3 linked regions of the Astyanax mexicanus genome follow. The protein of the gene in region 3 purifies or fractionates together with the protein of the main gene of each other region. This does not show direct contact. Links are inferred from orthologs where the notes say so. Each region holds a gene or a part of one and is shown on either strand. Other genes may lie near its edges.

The links. Proteins that work in one complex are often made in the same cells at the same time.
Region 1: the proteins of ciao1 (region 3) and narfl purify together in Homo sapiens (affinity purification with western blotting; 3 studies listed by BioGRID and IntAct, with this or other methods). This does not show direct contact. The link is inferred for Astyanax mexicanus from reciprocal best matches to the Homo sapiens genes CIAO1 and CIAO3.
Region 2: the proteins of ciao1 (region 3) and pole purify together in Homo sapiens (affinity purification with western blotting; 3 studies listed by BioGRID, with this or other methods). This does not show direct contact. The link is inferred for Astyanax mexicanus from reciprocal best matches to the Homo sapiens genes CIAO1 and POLE.

What each region holds. Positions count from the first base shown.
Region 1 is NC_064426.1:28,303,405-28,311,698, reverse strand, and holds the start of narfl (cytosolic Fe-S cluster assembly factor narfl), read left to right. Parts: upstream 1-4,749; 5' UTR 4,750-4,959; coding exon 4,960-5,025; intron 5,026-6,991; coding exon 6,992-7,087; intron 7,088-7,265; exon of another isoform or gene 7,266-7,283; intron 7,284-7,978; coding exon 7,979-8,122; intron 8,123-8,246; coding exon 8,247-8,294. Other genes in the region: zgc:113333 (beta-N-acetylhexosaminidase), read right to left, coding at 236-309.
Region 2 is NC_064429.1:31,313,895-31,322,163, forward strand, and holds the start of pole (DNA polymerase epsilon catalytic subunit A), read right to left. Parts: upstream 3,546-8,269; 5' UTR 3,171-3,545; coding exon 3,106-3,170; intron 1,703-3,105; coding exon 1,567-1,702; intron 1,365-1,566; coding exon 1,284-1,364; intron 1,189-1,283; coding exon 1,144-1,188; intron 1,052-1,143; coding exon 959-1,051; intron 519-958; coding exon 364-518; intron 153-363; coding exon 8-152; intron 1-7. Other genes in the region: lztr1 (leucine-zipper-like transcriptional regulator 1), read left to right, coding at 5,861-6,030, 7,660-7,722, 7,809-7,865, 7,975-8,054. UniProt on the Homo sapiens protein: Catalytic component of the DNA polymerase epsilon complex. Participates in chromosomal DNA replication.
Region 3 is NC_064419.1:34,890,229-34,898,432, forward strand, and holds the start of ciao1 (probable cytosolic iron-sulfur protein assembly protein ciao1), read right to left. Parts: upstream 3,676-8,204; 5' UTR 3,545-3,675; coding exon 3,406-3,544; intron 2,100-3,405; coding exon 1,951-2,099; intron 1,744-1,950; coding exon 1,632-1,743; intron 1,457-1,631; coding exon 1,368-1,456; intron 523-1,367; coding exon 321-522; intron 1-320. Other genes in the region: tmem127 (transmembrane protein 127), read left to right, coding at 6,742-6,979, 7,440-7,604, 8,015-8,204. UniProt on the Homo sapiens protein: Key component of the cytosolic iron-sulfur protein assembly (CIA) complex, a multiprotein complex that mediates the incorporation of iron-sulfur cluster into extramitochondrial Fe/S proteins.

The sequences.
Region 1 (8,294 bases), on a different chromosome or scaffold from region 3:
AATAATTCCCTCATAATTTCATTTTATTTAAACATTACGAATATTGTGAAACATTTACTGCATTGCATTTTTTTGTATTCAGCTAAATATCTGAACCAGATTTTAGGTTGATTTAGCTGAAAAACAGAGAGAAGTAATTCTCTCTGAATCAATCTAATAGGAATCCAGTAATCTAAAATTTGAAGTAATCATCTTTGTTCATCTGTTAATCTTAATTATAGTTATAAACACTCACCTGTACAAGAATTTTATCACGGCAAGAAGCGCCAAGCAGAGAACCAGCAGCCTCAACACCTTGTGCCTGTCCATCTCGCTGTCACTACAGAGACTGCAGGGAAAACCAGAGAACACCCAATGACATCCACAATGTCAGAAACAAATGACACACCGCCTGCTGAACATCTGCATAACAAAACCCCTCTGCATATTAAAATACTTTAAGTAATCAGTAAGGAGATGGGATTCAAACCTAATAAACAGAGGAGTGTGGTCAGTTAAAGATCACCCCTTATCTTAAAAAAAACAATAAAATTTAACTTTTTGAGAACTTTACATCTGATAAACCTGTTTGGAAAATGTGGAAAAACGAGTGTGCGCGGACCACACCTCTGACTGGCATTCGCAGCAAGGAGAGTTTCTGAATGGATACATAATCCTGTGTTTCTGTCTGGTTGTCAGTCTGTCTGTCATTTAAATAAGGCCATTCAAAATGTGGCGTAATCTGAAGGAGGAGCCGACAGTCTAATGTCATGATAATTAAAAACAATTTCACAATACACAACCTAAGGCCTGTCATGTTCATGACCATTTTTATTTAGATTTGATATGCTGTCCCAAAAGTAACTAAATAAAATAAATGTACAATACTGAGCAAAAGTTTTAGACAGCAAAGCAAATTACACTAATCCATTTATCTCCTAAAAAAAGGACCACATATGATTTAAACAGATGCAAATAAACATAAATACAGTAAAACGTAACAAGGAATTCTCATTTTAACTAAGTATGTTATATCCTGTGAGCCAAACTGAAAAACTAAGTGTGGTTTCAGATTTCTTCTGGATGCTCCTCAGCCAGCATGTGTATATTATGTTCAGTTCCGTCAGCAACTCACCTGATTTAACAAATTTACCAATTTACCAAACCAGTTGTTGATTAATATGATGAGAACTAGAAATAACTCTATTAAACTCAGATGAGGAGAAGAGATTAGGAGATGTTTTAAGGAAAACAGGGATGTAAAAGCTCTGCTTTTTGTAAAATTGCTGTTTGTATTTATTGTAATGCTGGTGTTTTACTGAGCTAATGAACACTTACTTCACAGATAAGAAGCTTTTTCTTTAATGAAATTCCCAATGGTGCCTAAAACATTTGCACAGTACTGTATATTTTTTAAATTATTTTATAATTTTTTCTCCCCAGTTTAGCTAGGCCGGTGGTCCCACCTATGCAGCTGCCACTCAGCTGTATATCCCCCCATCACAGGTGATGCCTCAACACAAGAAGGGAAAAGATAAGCACATGCCACTTCTGATACATGTAAAGTCAGACTCCGCCTCTTTTTGAACTGCTGCTGATGCGCAGGAAAGCGCAGCGACTCGGTTCTGATACATCAGCTCACAGACGCCTTGTGCTGATCGACATCACCCTTTGGAGTGATGAGAGGAAAGAGTGCCATCTACCCACCCAGAGAGGGAGAGAGAGCAAGGACAATTGTGCTCTCTCTGGGCTCCGGCAGCTGATAGCAAGGTGCATGACCGGGATTCGAACCAGCGATCTCCTGTTCATAGTGGCAGTGCTTAGTCAGCTGGCCCAATCGGCACCCATTAAATTATATTATTGTAATTTTAAGAGGAATTATATACAGTAGCAGTCAAACGTTTGGACACACTTGTTCTCATTCAACGTGTTTTCTTTTCTTTTCATAATTTTTTAACACTAATTGATACGCATGAACCAGCCAATGAAGTTTACAAGCTAATAAAACAGTAGCTTACCTCTGCACGCTTCACTAAAGAAAAAAAACGACAGCTAAGGCATTAGAGCTTGGCAGCGTTCGAAAGCCAAGAAGGCAAAGTAATAAACGCTCATTTTCAGAGCTAATTTTATGTGATATTTAGACACTTTAATCATGTTTACTTTACTGAGTAGGATCATTTGGGGGTTGTGACATAAAATATTTTGGTAAACTCGCCTCATGCTTCTTTTGTTTTGTTTTAAAAGCAGAAGTAACGAGTAAAAAGTAATAAATTAAAGTACAGGTAAAAGAAAAAACATTACCTGCACTGGTTTAATATGCACTACTGCTTTTCAAATGAATTATTAAGCTTCACTTACTGTCAGAATGCCTGTGCCTGTTTTCCCTCAGGTAGTGCTGTATTTATTGGCTTTATTTCCGTGAGTGGCGCTCACTTATTCTGAATAAAGAGATTAATCACTCTGTTCTGTCCTCACAAACCACGCCCATACACTGGGTAAACCACGCCCATGTAGTCCAAACTTAGTAAGCCACGCCCATAACGTCCAACCTTAATAAACCACGCCCTTAGTTCAGCTTATCATAAAATAAGATAATATAAGATAAGCTAAGATACCATTATTATAAATGCAGTGTGCACAAAGAAACTGAGCAGCATTCCTTAAGGTGTTTAAGACATACAGTAAAAACATTAACTGAGAAAAACTATAATGTAGAAATAATAATAATAATAATAATAATAATAATAATAATAATAATAATAATAATAATAATAAAAACATATATATTTTACATATATATGTTACAGTTATTGTGTATTAAGTTACACTTTAATTAAGTTAATTAAGGTACACTTTTACACACATATCCACAATAAAGAACTTTTTCAGAACTGGTCAGATTTGAAAATGGATACGATGGATACTATTAAATGATTTTTTCAACAGCAAATTTCACCACCATCACAGGTCCAAAACACATAAAAAGCGATTTGAAAATTTTCAAATTTATGAATTGAGCCGTTAAACATTGAAAACTCAAAAAGTCAGGCGAATTCTGAATATACAAAATGCAGACTTAAAGAGTTGTCAGCTTTTTTAAAATCCATACTAGTATTTTTTATGTGGATGGGTGTTTTCTGTATGGTTACTTTTTTTCTGTAGTGTTTTATTAATTGATAAATTATTAATTTTAATTTAATAACAAAGGAAGAAAAGGCTACATGCAGCAGATTAAACAGTACCGGAGCTGGTTTATGGAGAGAAAATGACAGAAAAAGCGCTAGAGGGAGCCCGCGAGTGAGCCCAAAATGAATGAGGGTGAATAGAGCTAAACGGCTAAAAATACAAATTAACAATAGTAAATATCTACTTGTCCAAGATTTGTCTTTAATTCTGGTATTATTCTGGTGTATTTTGGTAAATATATAAAGAAAATGTAACTATATCATTGAATTATTCCTTAGAAGCGGGATTTGTGCAGTAAAGGCGCTAGCATTAATGCTACTGTGAGCTGATGCTTTGACTGGAGTTACAGTCTTTAAAGCACTTTCAAGGGTTTATAGCTGGAGTTTACACGCTTTATTTTTTATGTTGGTAATATTTATAGCTTAAATGTAATGTTAATACAGATATTGTACCTAACACAGAGCTGATGTAATGTAATTGTAATGTAATTGTGTGTTTGTAATGTATCCACTGTAATTGGTAATATAAGGATAAAGGGGAAAAAAAGGCTAGTGGCCAATATGTGATGTTGTAACCAGGATTTGCTTAACCAGCATGTGTTCATTTTATTAATACAGGCTGAAATGCTCACTGTATTGTAATACTACCTATTTAACTATTTACCTATAGATCTAGTCAGTGGTTGTGGTTCAGAAGGGCTGAGGCTGTGTGGGGAAGGGAGTGAGTTTGTGCTTCTACAGCAGGCTTGGAGGGGGGTGGGTCTGGGACGCCAGACTTCACTGTTGAGCCTTCTGGAGGTGTCGTGGGCCTAATTCAGCGAAACACTGACGAAGGAAGGTGCCTGCCTGATGACCCCTGAGAAGAGCTTGCACTGAAGTTTGTGTTAGAGTTTGGATGAAGGGGATTGGTGTGGTCCTGCTCTTGTAATAATTTGTCTCATGAGTTTTTGTAGACGTCTGAGTACTTGGCAGTTGAGGCACGGACCATGAACATAGTTCGCTATGCTTCTGGATTCTTGTCGAGCCAGTATCAGATGGTAGTGGTTGCTGTGTTCTGCTCACGCAACTTATAACGTGATTTATTGTGTGTGATTGTGCTTAGGTAAGTGTGTTGTTGCCATAGTTAAAGGAAGTGAGCTTAGATTAAGGAGGGATTCTGTGTGTTCATAGGTTATTTTTTGGTAGGTCTGTTACTTGGCAGTTGAGGCAATGGACCATGAACATAGTGTTAGGCTGTGCTTCTGGATTCTTGTCGAGCCTGTATCAGATTGTGGTGGTTTTGCTATTGTTGTTAGTTGAGTGAGTAGTAGTTCCTGGCTGAGCCCTATGCATAACCCCAGCTGTTAGGTGCAGGATTTGTCAATTTCCTGTATTATATTACTTAACCTTTTCTTTTTTAAGGAATGTGTAAAACCAGTGAAAGTAGACAAGAAGCAAGGAAGATATGTGGCCAAAATCCAAATAAAAGTTATTTCTGCACTGATAAAAACTGATGTTTTTAAATATTATTCTGTGTTAAAAAAAATAGTAAAAAAAAAATAGTATGGCAATAATTAAACATGAAAAAACTCTGATTATGCTCTGATCATTCCTCCATATGAACCCATTCTTTTTGGTATAACTCCTGAGCGCCCTCTGTTGGTAATAATAACTAATAATTCTCTGACCGTTCTGTTTCATGCATGCGGACTACACATGCTGCTTTACTGCCCTGTCGTGCTTAACCGTGACTGACCAGATTTACGACACTCGTCACGCTTGACGGCAGTGTTGTTATATCGCGTGATCAGGCGGTATGGCGTCTCATTTCAGCGGCGTCCTTCAGTTAACAGACCTGGATGATTTTATCACCCCATCCCAGGTAAACTAACACAGCCACGCGGGTTATTAGGATTAAGTGGTGATATATGTTTAGATTACCGCTGATTATTTTAGCCAGGGAGGCTGATATTGTGCTGTTAACCTCAGTTAGCTTAGAAACTTAGCCAGCAAGCTAACAGCCAGTTATAGCTAACTTACAGTCAGCTGACTGTAAGTTTAGACCTAACCCACAGTATAATCTATCTCATTTACTATACTAGTGTGGATGTATTACACACAGAGTGATTTATTTTAAACGTTTATTCCTTTTATTGTTTATGATTATGGCTCACAGTCAATGAAAACCCAAAAAAATAGTAGCTCAGAAAATTAAAATATTATATAAGACTTCTGGCATGAAGTGCTGTAAGATTTTGTGGGAGAACACTGCACTGACTTTAGACTTGATAAAACACAGTGGATCAACACCAGCAGATTACACGACTCTCCAAACCATCACTGATCATTGTAAATCAAGGGAGCAGAGTCTGGAGGAAGAGTGGAGAGACACACAGTCCGAACTTCACAGTGTGAAGTTTCTACAATGATGATACAATGATCTTTAAGAAACTCCTGAAGACAGAGCTCTTCAAAGAGCACTTACTCTCTTAACACCTCTAACACACTAACTACTTATAACCTCATTTCCTTCTTCCCCTCCTTCACTCCTCTATCCTATTATTCCCCTTTGACCTCCTTTTATCCCTATCCAAAGTTGTTTTTACCTTTAAACTTATTTTACATTGTACTTGACTATTGTAAGTCGCTTTGGACAAAAGCGTCTGCCAAATGTAATGTAATGTAATGTAATGTAATGGAGAGACATGTCATCTGCTGGTGTTGATCCACTGTGTTAAATCAAGTCCAAATTCAGTGCAGCGTTTTCCTGAAAAACCTTACTGTACTTCATGCTTCCCTCTGCTGACAACTTTTATGGAGATGCAGATTTAATTTTCCAGCAGGACTTGGCACACTGCCCACACTGCCAAAGGCACCAATTGGTCTTATATAATATTAAAATTATCTGAGATACTTTAAATAGATCACTCTAAGTGTAATACATCTATATAATGAGTTTCACACATTGAACTGAATTACTGAAATAAAGTATATTTTTAATGATGTTCGATTTTTTTTTTAGACTAGTAGATTATAGTGCTCGGGTTTTAATTTAGTTAGGTTTGTGACTTACTGTACTCTTAGGAGTAGGGGTGGGCGATATGGCTCTAAAATAATATCACGATATTTCAGGGTATTTTTGCGATAACGATATACTTGGCGATAGAGGAAAACTAAAATAATTCATTCATTTCAGGAATATAGTATAATAGTATAACAGAATAATCACAATGTGGGAAAATAAATAATATAGCATAAAATAATATAATGCAGCAAATAATATTGCAGAATATTTAGTGCATGCATATAAACTGCAAACTAAAACAATTATACAGTAAATACACCTAAAGCTTCACAGTAAATAATAAACTACTTTTAAGACAGAACAGCCCTATTATCACGATATGGATTTTTAAATATCATAATATTTCTGTGTCACGATATATTGTATACGATATAATATTGCCCACCCCTACTTAGGAGTACATATTATGTAAACATTCAGGCTTTAAATGAAGGCTTTAATTATTATTGGGTTTAGTTTTGTCACACAAAATAACTGGAGTTTAGAAGCTTTAAAAGCCATGTTGGTGATCTTTATTACTTAAATGTAATATTAATACAGATATTTCACCTAACAGAGATAATGCCATCAGTTTAGGTTATGTTGTCATCTGTAAATGTATCCACTGTAATTGGTAATATAAGGATAGTATGGGGGGAAATTGGGGTAAAAAAAGGCTAGTGGCCAAAATGAGAAATGTTGTAACCAGGATCTGCTCAGCCAACATGTGCTCATTTTATATATGCAGATTACTACCTATTTAACCCATTCTTCTTCTTTTTAGGAATGTGTGAAACCAGTGAAAGTAGACAAGAAGCAAGGAAGATCTGTGGCCAAAATCCAAATAGAAGACGATGGCAGTTATTTTCAGGTCAACCAGGTTGGTGAAGTATCCTGTTCTTTACTGATTATGATGAGCAGATTTCAGGTCATTGTGTATATATATATTATGAGCTGTAAGTAGGTATAAACTTACTTTGTTATTGCAGCATAATGATCACTGTGATGTAGCAGCAAGATAGCCCATCACCAGGGTGACATTGTATGAATGAACTTACCTTTTAATCCTGCCTCATAGAGGGTTAGAAGGGAAAAGGGACGCAAAGGGAACCGGGGCTGCTTCTCCTGGTAGGACGAATCCACTTTCAGGGAGTGCTTCTTGTTTATCTGAAAAAGAAAGAAAATTAGTTAATACATGTGTAAAAAAAATAGTGATCAGTTATCTGTATGTCATTACCTGTGTATGTTAAATAGTGCTATTGTGTGTCATTGGTTTTGTCTGTTTTATCTGTTTAATGTTTAATGGATCTCCACCCCTTAAGGGGGTTTGTGGTTTAGTCGGGGCAGGGCTTAATGTGTGAATACCTGGCTTGGGTACTCGGTTGGGGGAAAAAAAAAACTCTCTCGGGGAAACTGTGTTGCTTGTAGCAGCGCATGGTTTGTAGGTTTGTAGAGAGAAAGTGAAACAGTATCTCAAGATATTTACTTTTGTAAATATGTGTAAATACTTACTGTTTTTTTTTTTTTGTGTGTGTGAATCTTCGTAAATAAATAACTGTGCACTTTTATATTTGGCTCATATCTTCTGTTTCACACCACATTAAGGGTCCTTGAAAAATTGGTTGCATGTAAAATCCAAAATTAATAAAGCCGAATTACCCACAGCATTTGGCATCACATTGTGTTACACAACGCTTTTGTGTGATCCAATATGTTGACCTACTCCTTGACATTCCTTGAGATCTGATTCAGCCTTGTTTCCCATATTTAGGATGGCCAAAGGCAGAAGCTGGAGAAAGCCAAGATTACGCTAAATGACTGCCTGGCCTGCAGTGGCTGCATCACTTCAGCTGAGAGCATCCTGATCACCCAGCAGAGTCACGAGGAGCTGTACAGAGTGCTGCGCCTCAATCAGGTATTGCTGAGTGGTGTTGACTAAAAAAACATGGGTGAAATGTCCAATGTAGCCACCGTAACACAGTGTAGATTCTTTACAGGGTGTGCTGCTCTATATGAGTAACAAATGTATCCTTTTACAGCAGAGTAGCGGTGGTGAGCAGAAGGTGGTGGTGGTGGTATCAGTGTCT
Region 2 (8,269 bases), on a different chromosome or scaffold from region 3:
TTCTTACCACATGGATCTTGAGGTCAATGGACAGCCTTACATGGTAAGGTACATCATACTCCCTCATATCCACAATGTTGTCTAGCTGGTCAGACATTTTCTTTGATGTACCATCTTCATCAGCTGTCATCACATTCCCACCTGCGAGTACACTACAACACAAATCACCAAAGGTGAACATCTTATATAATCAGAACATTCTGATTAAATATTGTGCAATTTGTGTAATCATATTGTTTCAATTCAGGTTACATTTGCATGAAAATAACATAAAACTGTAATGAGTTTCATATAAAACCATAATAATCAAAGAGAATGGCAATTATTATGTGTAATTTCTAAATTGGGATGTATGAAAAATACCTGCACAGCATGCTGGTGTAGGCATCATTAGATTTCTCTCTCTCCCTGTTTTTTCTAACGGCAGGTGAAATCTCTCGCTTCACTTTGATTAGGTCGTCCACTGTGTTAAAGGACAGTTTGATGTAGTTCCTCTTCAGACCCACCAGGTGGTTCGGCTGGAATAAACAACAGCATATTAAAACAATACTAAAATGAAAGTAACATAATATAAATAGAGAGAAATTTCTGAATTTATAAGCACATAAAAGGTTTGAAAGACTGACAGACAATCTGATATGCAACAGAGTTACAATGATGGGTGTAAGAAAATATCAATATCCTCGAGAATCACAAAAATATTTTGTAATACTGTATCGTTTCTTAAAAAACAGCAATATTTTTAAAGAATAGTTCACATGCAAAGATTGCTGTCAGCCTCTAGACATCAGTGCTTAATTCTTAAGATGCCACTGTTCTTACTGAATAAAAAAAAGTTTAATAAAACCCAATAAAAGCCATCACATATCTTTGCACACAGTATTACAATTAACATGCTGTGTCATAAAAATTAAAAAAGGCTAAATAAATTATGTAAAAATGTAATGTGTCTCATTACCAGATCTAGATCCTCTTTGGGCACAATCTCCAGTTTTGCCACCTTTCCTTGGTACTTCTTTGACAAGTAGGAGACGACTTCTCTCTCACAGTTCTACAGAATTTACAGAAAATAAAGAGGTCACATTGGAAAAACCCTACTTTATATGTTGTACTAAATGTTTGTAGATACATTTTTATTCTTACCTTTTTAGTGGCTATGTAGAAGTATGGCTTAAAGGGTAAAGCCACCTACAAAAATAAACAGTGAATGTTAAAGGATGAAATAGAGAGGGAAACAAATTAACCAAACCATCAACTGCTGATTTAGTAACATTATTCCTAACCTTGAATCTGCTGCCATCTTCCTGAATGAAGTAATAATCCACAGCACTGATCATCCTCTTGTCATCATCCAAAATCTCCGTCTGGCAGAAGTGAGATATCACAGGAGTTACTGAGAGCAGTGAAAACTCTACAGATTGCTTTATTAGGTGCTTAGTGTTATGATGTTTTCATGAATTTGGGTTAATTATTTCTTATACATTCTTAATTTGTATTAAATGAACAGACATTTAACAGAGTATTATTATTATTATTATTGTGTATATGACCCTTTTGACCACGTACCGGATGCATGTTGATCAGCCATCCAGTTTTTTCTCCAGGCTCCTTCATTCGCTCAAATCCGAAGCGTGTGTCCATTCCATCAGTAAACTGACTTCGTTCAAGCCGCTTGACGGCAGACATGCCGGGTCCATCATCCCTTTAGGCAAAACAATTCATTACATTAGCACATTTTTAATAAACAGTAGCTGTAGTGATATTATAACACAGTGGAAGCGGCTGGGAACAACAGCAACTCGCTTTATCAGTGTCAAATCAGAGTATCAGGTATAAAAGAGCATCAGTGTTACTTGTAGTGTATCTTCCTTTGGTCAAGTTCTGTCATATTTTTCTTTTTGCCTTGGATGTCTTGAGTGACTTTATGTTTTGAAATTTATTTTAACGTGTCTGAATTACTAAAATACAAGTAAAATATACAGACCTTTCACAATAACAATTTATTATTGCGATATACAATATCATAGAATATTTTTTTTGTAATTAATCATAGCTTAAAAAAAAGTATATATCAAAACCCACCACATATCTTTGGATACAAAATCACAATCAATATGCTGCATCATGCACATATAATAAGACAAAATGAATGAGGGAAAATTTTTAATGGGTCTCATTACCAAATCTAGATCCTCTTTAGGCACAATATCCAGGTTTCACGATTATACAGTGTTAAAATATTGACTATTCAGTAGAGGTGGGCGATATGGCTCTAAAATAATATCACGATATTTCAGGGTATTGTTTGCGATAACGATGTACTTGGCGATATAGGAAAACTAAAATAATTCATTCATTTCAGGAATATAGTATAATAGAATAACATAATAATCATAATGTGGGAAAATAAATAATATAGCATAAAATAATATAATGCAACAAATAATATTGCAGAATATTTAGTGCATGCATATAAACTGCAAACAAACAATTATACAATAAATACACCTAAAGCTTCACAGTAAATAATAGACTACTTTTAAAACAAAACAAGGCCTATTATCACAATATGGATTTTTAATATCATGATATTTCTGTGTCACGATATAATATTGCCCACCTCTACTATACAGAACACACATATTTATTATGAACACCCAGCTCTGCTGATTTAATATCAGAACTTACACTCTACATTTAAGCTTTTGGATTTAATATCAGACAATAATTAACCCAAAAAAAAGATTAATCTAAACACACATTATCTAATAAGTTTCACAGCAGTTCTGTTCTGCACTCAGCAACGTCTTAGTGATTTTACATATGTCTCCATACCAGATATTTAATTAGTGACAATACTTAACCTACCTAACCTAGTTTAAAACCAAGGTAGCTCTCACTTTAAGCTTTACATTTTAAAATCAGACTGTAATTATCCCCTAAAATAGAAGATAACACCAAACACACGTTAAATATATTTACTGCAGCTTTGTTTTATACACTCAGCAACATTTTAGGCCTGATATTTCTTTCCATTCTCAGGTTATATTCTGGTTACTCCTCCTCCTACTGCTGCTGTTAGTTGTCAGTGTTGTGAGAACTTACTGCTGGTTGTCTTGGTCTCCTCCATCCCGGTCTACTCTGAATCTTCCACTGTTCTGTAGAACCATCCTGAATTAAGCTACTAACCGCTGGCTAGTAAGTTAACTAGTAAACAATCTGAGTACAGAGGCTCTATAGAGCTTAAGGTGTCTGGAAAGGTTAGCTAGCTAGCTAAGCTAGTTAAGCTAAACCCCCGCTAGCTAACTAACCACTACTCTTGTCATCCAGCGCTAGCACAGCTAGCTATCGTAACTACTTACAAACATATATAAGCGATTTACATTCAATTCTCTCTATTTTCTCAGCCAACACAACTATATATCACATCTCCGTAACAAGTAGAGTGTGCCGGTTGGCGTTAAAGCGCATATAAAATAGAGTTTCTTGAAATTTTTCTCTAATATTCGCGGCTATTTTTACTGTTTTCCCCAGTCTGAGTTTGGCGGGTTTTTGCCCTACTTGCCGCGAGAGCCCATCAGCTTCCGCGCGCACGGCTCCGCCCCTTGATGCCTGTTGACCAATCGGGGCACAGATTGGCACATGGAAGCTCCTGGATCGCGTCCCAAATGGCTATACACCCTATGTAGGGCACTAGAAATTGACAGCTGCTGCACTCAACTAAGTAGTGAACTTATATGCAGTATATATGGAGCATTGTTGCTATTTGGGATTGGTCCTTGGTGCATTTTAGAAATCATTTTTTTGCTAAAAAAAAAAAAAAAAAAGCATTGCTCCTGAACTAATGACTATGGAAGCCCATTTCCGCCACCTGAAGAAAAAAAACGTCCTCAACTAAGTCATAATTATGAGATAGAAAAGTCATAATTATGGGATAGTAAGTCATAATTATGAGATAGTAAGTCATAATTATGAGATACTAAGTCATAATTGTGAGATAGTAAGTCATAATTATGAGATAAAAAAGTCATAATTATGAGATACTAAGTCATAATTATGAGATAGAAAGTCATAATTATGAGATACTAAGTCATAATTATGAGATAGAAAGTCATAATTATGAGATAGAAAGTCATAATTATGAGATGACTTTTTATCTCATAATTATGACTTTCTATCTCATAATTATGACTTTCTATCTCATAATTATGACTTACTATCTCATAATTATGACTTACTATCTCATAATTATGACTTTCTATCTCATAATTATGACTTACTATCTAATAATTATGACTTTTTTATCTCATAATTATGACTTACTATCTCATAATTATGACTTAGTTGAGGACGTTTTTTTTTTCTTCAGGTGGCGGAAATGGAATAAATGACTGTATCTAAACCTGTTTAAATGTTTTTTTTTTTCAGTGTTTAAAGTGGAAATAAACTATAGCGTTATTACGTACCCCCCTCCGTGTTTTTATTACGATGACTTTGCTAATATTATATTATAATATATTATAATATTATTTATCTTTAATATTAATGTTGAGGATTCTTTAAATTTCACTTATTTGTTTATTATGTTTACCTTTTATTTTTCTGCTTATTCAATTCCTTGTTCTAACCTTCTAATATACAGGCAATAGTGATATAAATTGCAATTGTCCTAAATAACTGTATTAAAGAATACTTTAGTAACACATATTAATCATCCCATTCATTTATTAAAATCCTGTTAAATAAATGCATTATTTATGAGAACTGAAATGTGAAAATACTGAAAAATACTGTTTAGATAGGGTTAGGTACTATATATGTGTTTGTATGCGTGTGTGAAATAAAATTATCTTAAGAATACACTACTGCAGCAAAATGAAGCTTACATTTTATTATTGTATACGATATGATATGGCACACCCCTAACTGAGATTTTAAAAAATACAAGACTTTTTAACAGATTTTTAACAAAAGTTAGTGATCCAAAATGTCATGATACTAATAATAATGCACTCCAAATATCTCCATATATCCTAAAATAAAGTCGAATAAATGATAATGGACAGATATAATCTTTCTCTGGTAGATATATAATGGGAAATGAGAAGAGTGTGAATTTTTATTTTGCTAAAAACAGCAAAAAAGCAGTACCCTGATGTGATAATTAGTGCTGGGTGATATTGCACGATATTTCATGGTATAAAACCGTTCATGATATTGAAAAATGCTTATAAAAACATATAATAAATAATACAAAGTAAAAACATGAATGAGCGAGTAAGTGAGAGAATCCACCAATCAGAATCGAGAAAATCACGCATGGCAACTGCTGGGGAGACTCCGCCCATAGGAGCGATGAGGAAAGTAGCAACAGCTAGCCTAGCTTAGCTAACTAACTGGTTGTTTGGCTTAAAATATCAGTTATGCTCTTTATCTTTCTAAAGCAGCAGCTTTTAAAATTTGCCTGTTACATAAAGTGAGCTTTAGATAATATCTGAGAGGAGGGGCCTTAAAGAAAACCTGATTTTTAGGGGTTGGTTTTTAGGTTGGATAGTTAGCCAGCCTTAGCTTAGCAACGTTAGCTTAGCAGAATGGAAGGCTGAGAGTCTGTCAAACTCTGCTGCTGCTGCTGCGTTTATTATTAGCTAGTTAAACAGGTTTATATAAATATAATAATGGTAAATATGCTGAATATGGAGGATATTAGGCTACTATGAGCTTCTGAGTTTAAAGCTCCGCACTGTCTGCTAGCTCTGGTGGTTTGTTTTAGTCAGAAACCCGCCCCCCTCCTTCTCCAGGCCGAGCTGTCTGATTTCTCCCCCCGTGGCGGTCACACAGCGCCGGGTAGAGCTCCAGCTGAATGTCATGGTTTCCTGGAGCCATGTCTTGTAAGTCCAAAGTGGCCCCGAGTGTGGACTTCGACCACAGCTGCTCGGACAGTGTTGAGTATCTGACACTCAACTTCGGTCCCTTCGAGACCGTCCATCGCTGGAGGCGACTCCCACCCTGCGACGAGTTTGTTGGGGCAAGGTAAGCACCAGGGCTGGACCCCCAAAATACAGAGGTTTCAGTATAAATACAGCTCTGGAAAAAATTAAGAGACTACTTCAGTTTCTGAATCAGTTTCTCTGGTGTTTGAGTAAAATGAACATTGTTATTTTATTCTATAAACTACAGACAACATTTCTCCCAAATTCTAAATAAAAATATTGTCATATAGAGCATTTATTTGCAGAAAATTAATGAACAAATTGTTGGAATAACAAAAATGATGCAGAGCTTTTAGACCTCAAACAATGCAAAGAAAACAAGTTCATATTCATAAAGTTTTAAGAATTCAGAAATCAATATTTGGTGGAATAACCCTGGTTTTCACAATTTTCACACATCTTGGCATGTTCTCCTCCACCAGTCTTACACACTGCTTTTGGATAACTTCATGTCACTCCTGGTGCAATAATTCAAGCAGTTCAGCTTGGTTTGATGGCTTGTGATCATCCATCTTCCTCTTGATTATATTCCAGGGGTTTTGGATTTGGTAAAATCAAAGAAACTCATAATTTTTAAGTGGTCTCTTATTTTTCTCCAGAGCTGTAGCTACCTATGAATAGAGAGAAATTGGTGCCTAATTGAAAACCAAACGCTACCGTAAAAAAATGTAAATGCAATCCACAAGATGCATTGCTTTTCTTCACTAACATGCTGAATACATGCCAGAATGAAATGCAAAACCACTATTGCATTACATTTTCCTGCACTTTTTTATTATCATTAAAAAAACAGTACACAAGAATTTACATTTTCAAAACCAAACGCTTAATTCGTATCAGAATTGCACTTGAAATGCATCTCAACAAAATCATCTTAACTGCATTGTATTCCACTGTGCAGTGCTGTGAATGTTCAAAAGCAAATCACACTGCACAGGATTGCATTTCGTCTAGGAGCATCGTGGAGTGAGTGTCAAAATGAAATGTAATCGCTGTCCAATCAGAACCCACTACTCAAGTTGGGACGGGGCTGAGAAAACTGAAAATGAACTTAGGGTGTAGTAAAACATGATAACAAACATGAGTACAAGCCTTTGTTGAATAGCCCACCTCCATTCACCTCCAGCATTCAGAAATACAGTGCTTTTAGCTGATACTCCCAACTAACAGGCTTACAATGCTAGTGATAGGGGCATAGTGCTGCCCATGCAAAGAAATCACTTTTTACACCAGTAACAAGCTCAAAGTAGCTTCACACTTTATTGGTAGAATTCTGAGGCCCCGGACGTTTAAAACGACACACTGAGATCTTTGAAAGTGCAAACTATTAAACTATTTTTTTTAATTGAGTAAACTACTGTAAATAATTCCGTAGCCACTTATGTGGAAGCTACTGTGAATAATTGAGTACTAATGTAAATTGACAAGCTGAAATGATTTAGTAACTACTACAAGTCGTCCACTAACTACTATCAATTTTAGGGTAACTGCAACAAATGATTCACTAAACATACTGCTTTTTTGGGTTCAAAGAGTTAAATATGTAAATAGCATAACTTTTTGAACCCCAAAGAGTTGTATGTTTACTAAATCAATTTATTCAAAAAATTGTGGTATTGTCAGTATTTGGTCATCGTTAAGTTATTGATTTATCTTTGTCCCCTTACAGACGCAGCAAGCACACAGTGGTGGCGTACAGGGATGCCATCTACGTGTTTGGAGGAGACAATGGGTAAGAAATTGGATGCTGGTGTGAAACATAATATACGTCAATAAATTAACCAGCTATTGAAAGTCTCACTAATGATATTGTTGCAGGAAAAACATGCTTAATGATCTGCTGCGCTTTGATGTGAAGGACTGCTCATGGTGTCGGTGGGTAAATTGAATTTTAAAGGATTATTATTTGTTTTTATTATTATTTATTTTTTTACAAATGCAATGCTTTTTAAAATCATATTATTCATGTATTTTAATTGAACAGGGCCTTTACCACTGGCACTCCACCAGCACCCAGATATCATCACTCTGCAGTCGTGTATGGGAGCAGCATGTTTGTGTTTGGTATGTGTATTTTTTATTATTATTGTTATTATAATATATATATATATATATATAATATGCATACATACATATTTTAGTACTGGTACTGAGTGCATGTTTTAAAATTAATCTCAGAAATATGAAGGACGCTCCCGGATAGAGGGTGGATGTGTTCAGTTACATTAGCAGCTCACCTGATTTAACATCCTTAATCACTGATTTACCAAACCAACTGT
Region 3 (8,204 bases):
CAGTTTAGCATGTCATACCCAGATATTTACTAATATAACTATAAACAAATGGCATCTGCCATTGCTTCACGTGTAACTGTACAGATATTTACACAAGTCCAAACCACAGGACCTTCTTCTTGTATATGCTTAACTCGGACTAACCAATAAGCAGACATAAGGTTCTCACATGGTTTGTTGAAAAGCATTTTGGTTTTTGGCTCTTGGCTTTTTCCCTGTGTGAAAACTAACCATGGCATTCTTGGCAACCAACACTGCAAGTGTACACACTCATTAACAGATTTGGACTAGAAGCAGACTAACAAAAGTTGTGAAAGTACCCTCGCCATCTCCTGGTGTGCACTCCTTCCATATTTTCACAGTGCGGTCATCACTACAGGAGGCCAATCTGTGTCCCTCTGGGTCAAAGGAAAGACTCCAGACTGTCGACGTGTGTCCCTCTAGAGTTGCCCTGCATTCCCAGTCATCATCCTCCTCTTTATAAATGCACACCTTGTTGTCATAACTGGCTGACGCCAAGAGCTGTAGAGGAAGAAGACATGTTATGGCTGCACAATACATTATCTATAAGGATTTTTTGTCATATTGGTCTTTTTTTTACTAATATATTTATATATTGATTGTAGATATGTTGTGATTACCAGTATAATGTGACATGAATAACGTCAAATTTAATATACAGTGAACTAGGGCTGGGTGATATTGACAAAACATTAATCTCAATATTCTTTGCATGTATGAGCGATTCTCGATTACAATTACTATTTTTGGTTCTTATATAACTTTTTACATAACAGTTTTTTTTTATTTGTAAACAGACAGAACAATTTAAAAGTAATGCACAAGCTATTGTTTGATTATTTATTAGCAGCCTTTTTCATATTAAACTTTTATATTCTTTATGGGCTCTGATAGACTGAGACTGACTGAGATTCCCTCTGGCATCTTCTATATCAATATTCAATATTATTCTATTTGGAAAATCACATTAAAACAGTAAATCTGAGGTGTAAACATTATATATATAAAAAAAAAACATTTTGCTTTGACAACTTTTAACACATCAAGCCAAAATATGAATATACATCAACTAGAATACGAGGATTACATAAATCCTTTAGTTGCTTATTTTCATTACCAATTTCTGTTTTCACTTATGCTCAGACTGAAAAATCCAAGAATACTATGGTTAATTTCATAATTACAGAATTATGAGCAAGCTGTTTCCGTGACTAGCTGAATAAACTAGATAAACTTAGAATATGTAGACTATACAGTGCATGTAAACATACTCACTAACTGCTGTAGACAACACAATAAAGTCGCTTCACAGTATCACGTGAAAAGATACATCAAAGATATGTTACCTCTTGTGTGGGATGCCAAACTACATGCTTCACATCCTGTGTGTGAGAATTGACCACACTCACACACTCATACTCATCCTCCTCATCAACTGTAGAGAAAGAAAGACTTAAGTAAAAAATCTATTTTTATGTCTGTATGCATGGGAGATGGCAAACGTGTTACAACTGTAACACAAGAACTACCCAGAGAAGCTGAGAAACTACACAGAGTTAACAATACAAAGTATGAAAGACCATGTAAAAAGTAACACTGCCTTTACAAACCTTCCCATATCCACACGCTCTTGTCTCTGCTGCAGGTGGCCAGCAGGTTTCCAGACGGAGCCCAAGCTACACACTTTACTTCGTTTTCATGTCCCTCTAAAACTGTAAGGCACTAAAAACACACACACTTATTACTGTAAAAGTTACCACACTGTTATGATTAACTTTGACAATCAGTCTTAAATTCACAGGCATCCCAAACCATGAGGGGACAATCCATGAGAATTACAGAGAATTATCTGTAATCCAATACACAATTACAACCCAATATCAATGCAGAGTTTTTGTACAATGCTTGGAGAGTGTATAAATGTTTTACCTCAAAATCATCATTCTTCTTCTTCCAGATGCAAGTGGTAGCATCAAAGCTGGCCGATGCAAGATAATTCCCACAGGGTGACCAGGCAACCTTTCTGACAGTCCGCTGGTGTCCGTCTGACAGCACACTCTTACACTCCCAACTGTCTCCTGTGTGAACAGGCCAGGACACATAAATTAACCTGCACATCCATTCTGCTGTGAAAAGTTTTGTTCTTGTGTCAGTACATGGGCATAGAGACAGACACCTTAGACATCAGAGATCAGTAAACTAAACTAAAATCCTCCTCAGGTTACAAGTGTTTTTACTTGAGGAACTCATAGCATGGAAATAACGTTAATTTTTAACTAACCTTTGATAGTTAAAGGTAATAAACTTGATAATTTAATATTACCTTAAAGTAGAAATTACTTAATTTTACACAGAAACATGTTGTGAGGGTAGAATGCAGATTGTGAGCTGTAAAATGCCTCTTTTAAAACCAGCTGTAGGGTCTGCAGTATGTCAGTAAAAAAGTAACAGACCTGTAGGCAAATACTACATATTGTACCTTTAGGTGGGTAAAAGACATAAACATACACAAAAAACATACTTTATACTGATTATCTAGATGATTAAGCAGTGCTTCGTCTGCACTGCTATATATATGATTTTGGTCATGCTCGTCATTGACCAGGTTGGTCATACAGGTTATCTTCTAGCTTGGTCAGGCTGATCATGCTTGTAGTTCAGTGTGGGCAGTGTGCAAGTCCTGCTGGAAAATGAAATCTGCATCTCCATAAAAGTTGTCAGCAGAGGGAAGCATGAAGTGCTGAAAGATTTTTCGTGAGAACACTGCACTGACTTTAGACTTGATATAACACAGTGGACCAACACCAGCAGATGACATGTCTCTCCAAACCATCACTGATTGTGGAAACTTTACATTAGACCTCAAGAAGCTTGGACTGTGTGACTATCCACTCTTCCTCCATACTCTTGATCTCTTGATTCCCAAATGAAATGCGAAATTTACTGATGATCAGTGATGGTTTGGAGAGCCGTGTCATATGCTGGTGTTGATCCACTGTGTTGTATCAAGTCAAAATCCCATGCAGTGTTTTCCTGCAAAATAACAACTTTTATGGAGAAGTAGATTTCATTTTCCAGCAGGACTTGGCACACTGCCCACACTGCCAAAAGTACCAATTGGTTATATGTAATATTCACATTTCCTGAGACACTGATTTTTGGGTTTTAATTGGCTGTAAGTCATAATCATCGACATTAAAAGAAATAAAAGCTTAGAATATATATATCACTCTTTGTGTAATACATCTATATATTATATGATTTTCACATTTTGAACTAAATAACTAAAATAGTAACTTTTCAGTTATATTAATTTGTTTGAGATGCACTGTACACAGACACAGGTAAAGTAACATTAGTCACAGTGAGAACTGAGTATCAGACCTTCTTTCCCCCAGATCCGGACCGCTCGATCTCCGCCGCAGGACGCCAGAAGGGAACCCTTGGGGCTCCAGGCTACATACCAGCAGCGGGAGTCGGGGTGAGCGCTCAGCCGCTGAACCAGCTCTACCGTGTCCTTCATTCAGGAGCGTTTCGGCGTCCAGTTACCTGCTTAAACCGGTCAAAACTAATGTTTATCTGCTGACAGTTAGTTTATCAGATGCCTCCACCTGCCTTCCTGCTCTTTTCTTCACTGACTACCCCCTTACACATGGTTTATAACACAGCGCCGCTTACAGGGAACAGCGAACCTCACAGCTTCCAGTCTACAGGGATGTATACTGTATATACAGCTCTGGGGAAAAAAAAATATTAAAAGACCACTTCATTTTCTGAAGTTTCTCTGATTATAGGTATATGTTTGAGTAAAATAAACATTGTTTCTTATTCTATAAACTACAGACAGCGTTTCTGCCAAATTCCAAATAAAAATATTGTCATTTAGAGCATTTATTTGCAGAAAATAAAAAATGTCTGAAATAACAAAAAAGATGCAGAGCTTTCAGACCTCAAATAATGTAAATAAAACAAGTTTATAGTCATTAAGTTTTAAGAGTTCAGAAATCAATATTTGGTGGAATAACCCTGGTTTTTAATCACAGTTTTCGTGTATCTTGGCATGTTCTCCTCCATCAGTCTTACACACTGCTTTTGGATAACTTTATGCCACTTCTGGTGCAAATTTCAAACAGTTCAGCTTGGTTTGATGGCTTGTGATCATCCATCTTGCTCTTGGTTATATTCCAGAGGTTTTCAATAAACTCATAATTTTAAGTGGTCTCATATTTTTTCCAAAACCAGGGTTATTCCACCAAATATTGATTTCTGAACTCTTAAAACTTTATGAATATGAGCTTGTAATATGTCTTTGTAATATTTGAGGTCTAAAAGCACTGCACCTTTTTTATTTTAGCAATTTCTCACTTTCTGCATATAAATGCTCTAAATGACAATATTGTTGCAATACTTATTCTGTGCAATATTTGTCTATAGTGTAAGTTATTATGTTTATTGTTATTGAGTGTATTGTGTATAGTGTTTATACTGTAAAGCTATCTGTAAGTCTTATTTTATATTATATTTTATTTTATTACTCTTCTTGTAAATATTATTCTCTGCACATTGGTGGGGATCTGCACCCAAGTTTTTCACTCACATGTACATACACCTGTACTCTGTGACGTGACAATAAAAATCTTGAATCTTGTTATTTGGAATTTGGGAGAAACACATTTGAGTTAAATACAAAAAAAGGAAACATGTCAGTGATAACTTGGTAACATTTTAATAATTAATGATAAAATAATAAAATACGATATTTTACTAAATAAATAAACAGATAAACAAACGGATTAGGGTTTATTACAGAACGTCACGTTACAGGAAGCGGAAGTGTGCGGATGGAAACAGAGGGAGGTAGCTGGGTAGCTAGGCTAGCGGCTGAGCTCGGAGCTGTCTTTGTTTTTATTGGGATTTTGATATAAAGCAGGAGAATGAGGCTGTATTAGACAGAGCAGTCACTCTGAGGGGGAATATTGTGAGTAGGGGCAGCGGGCGGAGGTGAATGGTAAGGGTGGTGTGGGTGTTTTATCGTGTGAGAAGCTCTTTCGGTTCTTTTGTCTGTCTGAGTCTCTCGGTATCCGAGTTAAAATATCCGCTTTGGCCGCGACGAAGCTCGACTTCTCCCCCTCATGACTTCGCCTGTTTCTCAGTAGGACGGATTTCCACACGCCCGACAGGTGGGTTTAGTGTTTGACTGGGTGGATAGTATTTTTTCTTTGGTTAAGGGACCAAAGCGACACATTCAGACGTCTAAATGTTTAATAGAAAACAAGATTTAACGTAACCTAGCTAAGCGGTGTAGCCATCGCGGTGCTAGCTAACTAACCTAGGTTAAATGTTAAGTGTAGTTTTGATACTGTTATCGCTCGGTTAGTAATGTTTTTATAGAATAAATGACTTTTAAGGATTTAATGATCTCTGAAATAATGTCGTGTTAACCTAGGTTAGCTTACTTATGCTGAGTGATTCCTGCTTGAGTCTTAAGTGAGTCATATTCGTCATGTCTGATTTGTTTCCTTATACTAGCTGCTTGGACTGCAACTAATGTTTATTTTGGTAGTTGACTAATCTGACGAATATTTTTCAGATAGATCAATGATTATTTCTTTCTCTATTTCCTGAGGGTATGGCTTCTGTTCCTAGAGTTCTCTGTCTTTTCAAAACGATAGACATTGCTCAACATTTAAATGCCCAGAAAAAGACATTCCGATTAATGTGCAATGTTTTGCTATTTAGTGAGAAAGTGTTGTGCACTGCAGTTACAAATAGTAACAAATAGTATTAACTATTAGTTCACACTGTTACTTACAGTCGATACATTTTTATAATCAACATTGTCGATTATGTCAACTAATCGCCAACAGATATACTAGGAAACTATCTAAATATCAGGTGATCGTAATAATAAGGGTCTTAAAATATCCCATGCTATTTGGGCTGGAACTAATGATTATTTTTTTAGTTGACTAATCTGACTATTATTTTATAGTAACTGCTTAACATGGGATTTAAATGCCCAGAACACATTATGATCAATCTGAAATATACTGCTATTTAGTGAGGTAATATATGTAATCTGTTGTGTCTGTCACTTTTAGTGACCATGCTGCAACTAATGATTATTTTGTTAGTTTTGATTATTTGATTAGTCAGCTGGGACCAGAAACGCAGTGGGAAAGGGGTTAAGGGCTGCGCACACAACTCAGCTTACTCAGTTTACACTCTGCTTGGTCATCAAAAGTGGCTGACCCATACTTTTTTTTTTTTTTAACTAAATATCTGAATATTCCATACTTGTCAGAATGCTATCTGGGCATTTCAATGGCGTATAATCCCAATCCCAGCTGTCCATGTAGTGTATATGGCCATGACTTGCTTATCACAGGCCCCACTAAACCATCGGCATGCACTATTTTTATGGATACAGGAGGTAATTAGCAGGACTCCATAATTTTGCTAATCAGTGACAACCCAAATACAGGTCTTTAGGGATCAGCTGGTCATGTAGCGAAGTAAGCATGCACCATTGTTGATCTGTCTGTTATACTCTGACCCTTTGTTTCAGTTTATACATTAGACTCATGTATTTTCCATATGCAGATGCATTCTCCTGAACCCTGTATGTGTTTTTTTTTTTCTTCTGCAGTACATTTCTAAACAACCACTTGATACTTTTGAACCTGGTGCTGTTCAGTTGTTATATCTGAGAAACACATCATGTACGCCCCACCGGGACCTGCTCTCCCTGGAACCCGCAGGAGAAGAGGTGGAACAGCACTGCCCAAACAACCCGAACGAAGTTTGGCTTCTGCGCTGCCTGGCGCACTATCCATCACGGCCCTGTGCACAGCCCTGGCCGAGCCAGCCTGGCTGCGGGTGCACGGGGGAACCTGCCCGAGGCAGGAGCTTGGAGTGGCTGACGTTCTGGGATACATAGACGAGACACTTATTAAAGGTCATTTTTTACTCACTTTAGTCTTTTATGCTCTTATTATGACCTAAACTGACTGCTTAATGTTTATTAATAACACTTACCAAAGGAACAGGCCTGTTTCTGATACAATCACAACACTTCAATACTCAACAACTCACCTGTAAGGGATGCAAGTTGTGATATGATTCTGCTTGGATGACAGAGCCTGAGGAATCTAATAGCTATAATCTTAATTCTCTCTGGCAGTGGGCCTGAGGAGACTTAATACATTTAAAAAATGACAATGATTAACTAATAAAAAAAATGTCTTTTAGAGTAATTTAAATCTTATTAAAATGGAACAGGAAGTGTATGTGTTAAACATTCACACAAAGTTCACAGATTACTTTACTGTGATTTTTGCGATGATGAAGCTCCATGTACCTATGCGCAACTCTTATTTTGTATATAAATAAATGTTGTTTCTTTTGTTTTGCCACAGACTATTGCATTAACTCCCAGACCATTCTGCTGTTGCGAGTTATTGCTGCCTTCTGTTTCCTGGGCATTTTATGTAGCCTGACAGCTTTTCTACTGGACGTCTTTGGACCCAAACACCCTGCTCTCAAGATTACACGCCGATATGCCTTTGCTCACATTCTTACAGGTATTTAGCGTGTGGTAGTGACATTTAATGCATTATTGGCACATTTACAATGTGTTTAAATGATGAGTAAAAAAGGGTTAAAGAAACATTGTTATGTCAGTCCTCTATATATTAACAATTGGCTTGATATGTAGAGAATGCTTTATTTATTTGGCCTATAACAAAAATAGTGATGTATTTAAAAAAATATTGGCACTCAATCTTACTTACTACTTACTACAATCTTACTACTTACTACTACTTTTTTTTTTTTGGATTGCATAAACATACAATACTCACAGGAAGTCCACATAGTAAAGATTTTGCATTGCGGCTGTGCAAATGCCAGCATTTCAGTGACCGTATGCAATGACGGTGTAAATTTTTGTGCTGTTCTCTAAATATGTTTACTATTGTGCTTCATTCTGCAGTGCTCCAGTGTGCCACTGTGATTGGTTTCTGCTACTGGGCCTCAGAGCTCATCCTCTCTCTTCAGCAGCAGCACAAGAAGTATCATGGTTCACTTATCTACGTTACCTTTGCCATCAGCTTCTATCTGGTGGCAGGAGCTGGAGGAGCTTCCATCTTGGCCACGGCTGCCAACCTGCTCCGTCATTACCC